Linked DNA regions of Macaca fascicularis. The protein of the gene in region 1 binds, or shares a complex with, the protein of each later gene. Links are inferred from orthologs where the notes say so. Each region holds a gene or a part of one and is shown on either strand. Other genes may lie near its edges. The genes, in order: NCOA6 and KDM6A.

Evidence for each region.
Region 2: NCOA6 (region 1) and KDM6A share a complex: the UniProt entries of both Homo sapiens proteins name them as parts of the MLL2/3 complex. The link is inferred for Macaca fascicularis from reciprocal best matches to the Homo sapiens genes NCOA6 and KDM6A.

What each region holds. Positions count from the first base shown.
Region 1 is NC_088384.1:90,870,767-90,875,171, reverse strand, and holds the start of NCOA6 (nuclear receptor coactivator 6), read left to right. Parts: upstream 1-1,309; 5' UTR 1,310-1,494; intron 1,495-4,405. UniProt on the Homo sapiens protein: Nuclear receptor coactivator that directly binds nuclear receptors and stimulates the transcriptional activities in a hormone-dependent fashion. Coactivates expression in an agonist- and AF2-dependent manner.
Region 2 is NC_088395.1:45,166,195-45,169,188, forward strand, and holds the end of KDM6A (lysine-specific demethylase 6A), read left to right. Parts: coding exon 1-159; intron 160-1,303; coding exon 1,304-1,333; 3' UTR 1,334-2,174; downstream 2,175-2,994. UniProt on the Homo sapiens protein: Histone demethylase that specifically demethylates 'Lys-27' of histone H3, thereby playing a central role in histone code. Demethylates trimethylated and dimethylated but not monomethylated H3 'Lys-27'.

The DNA.
Region 1 (4,405 bases):
TACTCAGGAGCCTGAGGCAGGAGAATCCCTTGAAACAGGGAGGCGGAGGTTACAGTGAGCCGAGATCGCGCCACTGCACTTCAGCCTGGGCGACATAGTGAGACTGTCTCAAAAAAAAAAAAAAACACAAAAACCACACACACACAATTTAGCTGTACATTTTAAAATAACTAGAGTGTAATTGGGTTGTTTGTAACACAAAGGATAAATGCTTGAGGTGCTAGATACCCCATTTACCATGATGTGATTATTACATGATGTATGCCTGTATCAAAATCTCATGTACCCCATAAATATATTCACCTACTACGTACTTACAAAAATTTAAAAAATACATCAGTGTAGTGTGGGAAAAAAGAAAACAAAAACAAAAATTTTTTTTTTTTTTTGAGACGTGGTCTCGCTCTGTCGCCCAGGCTGGAGTGCAGTGGCTGGATCTCAGCTCACTGCAAGCTCCGCCTCCCGGGTTTACGCCATTCTCCTGCCACAGCCTCCCGAGTAGCTGGGACTACAGGCGCCCGCCACCACGCCCGGCTAGTTTTTTGTATTTTTTAGTAGAGACGGGGTTTCACCGTGTTAGCCAGGATGGTCCCGATCTCCTGACCTCGTGATCCGCCCGTCTCGGCCTCCCAAAGTGCTGGGATTACAGGCTTGAGCCACCGCGCCCGGCCCAAAAAATTTAAAAAAAAGAGTGAAAGCCAGATATGAATCCAGGCCTGTATGACAGACGTCAAGGCCAGTGCTGAGGAGGCCTTTCTACATTTGGGAAGTGGGGAGGGGCCACACTCGTTCGATCAATAATTCTATTTCCTGAGCATTTTAGCTTGCTAGGGAGGTAATGATGGGAAAAAGAAGAGAGGGATTTAGAGGCAAATAATAGTGAAAGCTTTTATCTATATCCCATTAAGCTTATTATTAGACACTATGTGTCAGGCACGGTGACAAGTGCCTTCCATGCCTACCTCCATTTCCTCCTCACAAGAACTATGATTTTCCCCATATTTCAGATGGGTAAACTGAGGTTTGGAGTTGCCATTTCCAAGGATACTCAGTGCGCTCGCAAAAGGCTGTTCGGTGTGTGTTTCCCCAGCGGGACTCACTGGCGAGAGAATAGCACTGGGAAGCCGACAGAAACCCACGAGATCCCAGCATTAAGCTCACAGCACCCAAGCGAGCTGGCGCGCACTCCACCTCGCGCTCCCGGGGACGTCTGGTCACGTGGGCAATGCCCCGCCCCTCGAGTCCGCCCCGCCCCCTCTGGCGCTCCCTCCCTCTTTCCCTCCCTCCCCCTCCCTCCCCGGCCCGGTCCGGCCCATCCCCCTCCCCGCCGGCTCGGTGAGGCCCTGCCGGGTCGGGCTGCGGGCGGCCGGGCGCGGGTGGCCGGACAGACGGGCGCACGCGAGGACTGACGGACGGACGCACGGAGGGCGGCGGGCACGCACGGCCGGGGCTGGCGCTCCAAGGCCCGCCCGGGAGGGCTGGGGCCGCGCTCAGGTGAGACGACGGCGGCGCGGGCCCGTAAGGGGTGGGCCCGCCGGGTGTCCGCGGTCCTTGTCGGGCTGGCTTCGCGGGGAGGAGGCGCCGCCCGGGCCCGGCGCGGGAAAATGGCGCCGGGCGACCGAGTGGCACGGTCTGAGTGCGGGCCCGGCCCGGAGCCGCCCCGCCCGCCGCGCTTATGTCCCCGTCGCCATGTTGGGGAGCGGGCCCCAGGCCTGCGGGCGGGGGCGCTGGAGGGAGCGGCGGCCCGGCGGGGTGGGGAGGGTGCTGGGCGCTGGGGCCGGCGCACTGAGGGAGTGCAGGGCTGGCCGGGGTCTGCACGGGGTGGCGCTCCAGGCCCGGGGAACAGGCGGGAGCCAGTAGTGGGGTCGTGGTCAGGGTCGTGGAGAAGGAACACTGGATCCGAAAGGAACCAGGATTGGGGTCCATGGGCTGAGAGGATGGCAGGACGTGGAACTGGGTTAGGCCTTAGGCGGGCTTAGGGCACTAGTGCAGGTAGAACCTGGTGATTGGGGTGGAGGCATGGGGGCCAAGCTTAGGCTGTCAGGGCTGGAGCAGTTCTTTGCGGGGAGGGAAGGAGGTGATGGATGAGGAATGAGGGCCCTTTGGGTACAGACGCTGGTATCAGATTGGGGCAGTCCTTGGGGTACTGGGGCTGATTTGCAAAGCTGTATAACTCCCAAGGCTCTGAAGACTTACGTTCCAAGCATCCTCCACCCCCTATTGGGGGAAGCAACAGGAAAAAGGAGGTGTTTGATGAGAGAAAAGGGGGACAAAAGGGGACTGAGGTTTGGGTGCAGGAGCTGACCGGCAAAAGAGGCACAGAGAGTGGAACTGGTTGGCAAGAAAGGAAAGAACCTTTATCAACTTAGGGAATTGTGTGTGTCTTTAAAAGGAGGGACCCGGCTGTTTGGGGGCGGTGACCCAAGGTGTCTTCCCTGGAAGGGGACAGCCCACAGCTTAAGAGCAGGGTCACCTGGAGAGGTCATCCGAAAGGCGTTATTGAAGCCAGTAAAATGGTGAAGAAGAGTGAATGTATAAAAACTACAAAGGCCTGAGAGATCAAGTAAAGATTTCAAATCAGGTAGTGATTTTAGCTGAAACAGAAAGGTAAAGTTGACTTTTCAAGATCTTACAAGTTAGTAGCAGAGGGTCTACTGGAAATGGTCAGCTGCCTGCTCACTAAACACATTGCCTTAAAGGAGTTTGCTAGCTGGGAGAAAGGTGTTAAGAAATGAACCATAACATTCTTGTGATGAAACTAAAAGCAAACAAACAAAAACAATAAGAAGTGAAGCGTAACAGTATATACCAGATAACTATTAAATTTGTTTTGTTCCTTTAATGACTTTGGCAATACAAAGGCTGAAGGGAATACAAAAGAGGGTAGGCAGCCAGTTTTTTGGTATTTCCTGGCTCATCTCTAATTGTGCAAAGTTGTTGTCTTTGAGACCTTCTAACTTTGTAGAGTTTTAAGAGATGCTCCGGCCAGCCATAGTGGCTCATGCCTGTAATCCCAGCACTTTGGGAGGCCAAGGCGGGAGGATTGCTTGAGCCCAGGAGCTGGGAGACCCCATCTCTACAAAAAAATAAAAAAAATTAGCCACCTGATGTGGCTTGTACTTTTAGTCCCAGCCACTCAGGAGGCTGAGGTGGAAGGATCGCTTGAGCCTGGGAGGCCAAGGCTGCAATGAGCCGTGCTGTGATCGTTCCATGATATTCCAGCCTGGATTACAGAGTAAGACACTGTCTAAAAAAAAAAAAAGAAAAAAGAAATACTTCTTCTCTTCTAGGTGTTTACCACAAAGGGACACAAAATCCTAAAAAAGAAAAGTGAAAAATTGTAAAGACCCAGAGTGTCTATTTTGTTAATTGAAGTTGGATCATGTTAGAGAAAAATTCAAAGTTCGCGTGGGCTATGGGAGAGTTCTGAAGGAAATATGCAAACTAGTCATGGAAAATAGGTCCAGGGCCCCATATAATCAAAGAGAATTAATGAACAGAAAGGTTATGAGGGCAAATATAAAATAAGATTGTCAATACCATATGTATATACTGCAACACAATTCATTTGTTCTGGGTTTTTCTTTTCTTTTTTTTTTTTAATTTGTGGAGATGGGATTTCAACATGTTGCTCAGGCTGGTCTTGAGCTCCTTAGCTCAAGTGATCTGCCCACCTCGGCCTCCCAAAATGCTGGGATTACAGGCGTGAGCCACCTGGGTTTTTCTAATGAAGGAAGACCTGACCTTATCTGTGCCATGGACCCCTTTCAGAATAATATTTTTTAGTTGTATAAAATAAAGTACATTGAATTATAAGGAACACCAATTATATGGAAATATAGTTTCCAACATATACAAATCTAATATTCATATACTTGTTTTTTTTTTTTTTTTTTTGAGACGGAGTCTCGCTCTGTCACCCAGGCTGGAGTGCGGTGGCCGGATCTCTGCTCACTGCAAGCTCCGCCTCCCGGGTTTACGCCATTCTCCTGGCTCAGCCTCCGGAGTAGCTGGGACTACAGGCGCCCGCCACCTCGCCCGGCTAGTTTTTTGTACTTTTTAGTAGAGACGGTGTTTCACCGTGTTAGCCAGGATGGTCTCGATCTCCTGACCTCGTGATCCGCTCGTCTCGGCCTCCCAAAGTGCTGGGATTACAGGCTTGAGCCACCGCGCCCGGCCTCATATACTTGTTTATCAGCACATTAAGAAATCAGATTTAGTGATGGATCTGATAATTACAATTTCAAAGACATGATGCGCATAAAGCCTACTTCAAGATTATACGCAACAACTGTAGTATGATATAAAGATATTTGAGATTTCTGTTGTTACAGAGTCATAGATACTGCTAATACTAGAATGGTATGTTACCTACACTTAAATTTGAATAGAATAATAATTTTCA
Region 2 (2,994 bases), on another chromosome or scaffold:
GATTTGCTTTTTGTCACTAATGAGAGTAATTCACGAAAGACCTACATAGTACATTGCCAAGATTGTGCACGAAAAACAAGCGGAAACCTGGAAAACTTTGTGGTGCTAGAACAGTACAAAATGGAGGACCTGATGCAAGTCTATGACCAATTTACATTAGTAAGTCAAATCAACATGTGAGTACATAGTTAGCTGGGTTATGAAGCAGCAGTGTTTGTTCTGCCACCTGATAAGTAGGAGGTAATGAAATATTTTAAATTTCCCTTTGGCTCATTACATATTGCATGAGGGTGTATTCATATCATTCCCCCCTCCATTTCCAAGTATTTATTCCTATAAAATTGGCATATATCATTTTCAGTTTTCTTCCTGGGTAAGACCAGCCTAAATAATTTTACAACAATTACATTTAAAAATCTTCACGTGCTTTAGATGGAACACTATCATATCCTTTATGTCATTTTATCTCAGTTGATAAGTTGATAAAATGTTTGTGTACGTAGGTTATTAGAGCCCACAAAATGAATCAGTAAATGTGCTTTTAAATATACTTCTGCTTTTAGAGCTAATTGTATTTGTTTAAAATTTTGTCCTTGCCAGAAGTATTAACCTCATGGGAATATTTAATGGAGCTTAACTTCCTGGTATGTTATATAACCTTATGAAATTCAAGTATACTTATAAATTGCACACAGTTTTTAATTTCAGACAGCAGATGCTTGGGGGAAGCATTTTACTTTAGCAGATCAATAGCTTTATGAATAGAAACAGAGATAATTTATGAATTGTTGATTTTCTCCAGTACTTGTCTCCCACACATATGTGATCAGAAACTAACTTTTTGAAATTTAGTTTCTGATATTTTCACTTGAATAGTCTTCAAGATTGCTTGAAGAAGAAAATTATCTGGACTATGTTGAAGAAAATATATTACCTAGCTGAGATAGATTCTGAAGACAGTCACTAGTGAAATTGTAACTTGTTAAATTATTTTTCAAGAAGCCCCCCTTTTTTTAAGCAATCTTAAGAAACGGTAAACTTAATAACATTCCAAGAGTTTTTGACTAATTGGTGAAGAAATATAGAAAATTGCAAGTACGCTGAGTAGGATAATGGTCTTAGACTCTTAGGAAAATTGGCTGAATGGGAGATAGTAAGGTAGGTTGTACTTTTATGTTGTGTAGCAGGCTGGTGAACTTTTTGAGAGTTATTTCCCCTGACTTCATAAGCAGACTATATGTTTGTAGCCATGAGCTATTAACAATTTGTATATCAAAATAACCTACCTTACTTTTATTTTCAGGCTCCTCCATTACCATCCGCCTCATCTTGATATTGTTCCATGGACATTAAATGAGACCTTTTCTGCTATTCAGGAAATAACCCACTTCTGCACCACTGGTTTTTGTAGCTATCTCGTAAGGCTGCTGGCTGAAAACTGTGTCTATGCAACCTTCCAAGTGCGGAGTGTCAACCAGCTGGACGGGAGAGAGTACTGTTCCTACTCCAGGACTCTCACAAAGCTCATCAGCTGTACTTCACAAAAAAATAATAATTTCCATGTTTTGTATATATCTGACAAAACTGGCAACATCTTACAGACTACTGACTTGAAGACAACCTCTTTTATATTTCTCTATTTCTGGGCTGATGAATTTGTTTTCATCTGTCTTTTCCCCCTTCAGAATTTTCCTTGGAAAAAAAATACTAGCCTAGCTGGTCATTTCTTTGTAAGGTAGTTAGCAATTTTAAGTCTTTCTTTGGTCAACTTTTTTTTAATGTGAAAAGTTAGGTAAGACACTTTTTTACTGCTTTTATGTTTTTCTGTCTTGTTTTGAGACCATAATGGTTACACTTTTGGTTCCTAAATAAAACATTAAAAAAATTAACAGCCAAGTCACAAAGGTAATGGATTGCACATAGACTAAGGAATAAACTTCAGATTTGTGATTTTTGTTTCTAATCTTGATGTAAATTTACACTATTTATAAATACATATTTATTGCTTGAAAATATTTGTGAATGGAATGCTGTTATTTTTTCCAGATTTACCTGCCATTGAAATTTTAAGGAGTTCTGTAATTTCAAACACTACTCCTATTACATTTTCTATGTGTAAATAAAACTGCTTAGCATTGTACAGAAACTTTTATTAAAATTGTTTAATGTTTAAAGAGTTTTCTATTGTTTGAGTTTTAAAAAGACTTTATGTACAGTGCCCAGTTTTTGTTCATTTTTGAAATCTGATTATATATATTTTATATATACTTATGTATGTATATATAATATATATAGAAATCTGGATATATATGTATAAATATTTAGAACTTAAATTTTTCTCGTTTTAAGTTTCACATCTATGGTAGATTTTTGAGGTGTCTACTGTAAAGTATTGCTTACAAAAAGTATGATTATTTTTAAAGAAATATATATGGTATGTATCCTCAAGACCTAAAATGTCAGACTGGTTTATTGTTAAGTTGCAATTACTGCAATGACAGACCAATAAACAATTGCTGCCAAAATGTAGTATAATAGTAGAAAACAAATAGTGATTGAACTTAAGATTTTAAAAGGAATGTTATATGGGCTTGACAAATCCTGTACATGACTTAGTAACATTTTATATGGAAAAGGGGATTCAGGATGAAGGGCTCTATTTTAGAATGAAAATAAATTAAGAGACTTATTTTTTAATGTTAGGCAATTTTGAAATCTCATGCTTTTTTGCTTGCATGACATGATTTGGGGGAGGAGTGCTGCAAATTCCCCATCACTAGTAAAATATAGCAATCTATATTAGCGTTCACAAGTCACTGCTAATTAATGATAGTATTTCATTTTGTAATAACAGCACCTTGCATTTGTACCTCCATTTTCTGAAGCATTTGACACATACTCTCATTTAATCATATTGTTCTTTGTATGAATTTTCCAGGAAGCATTAGTGAAGAAGCATAGAGAATAGAGAATGCTGTAAATCAAGATTATATA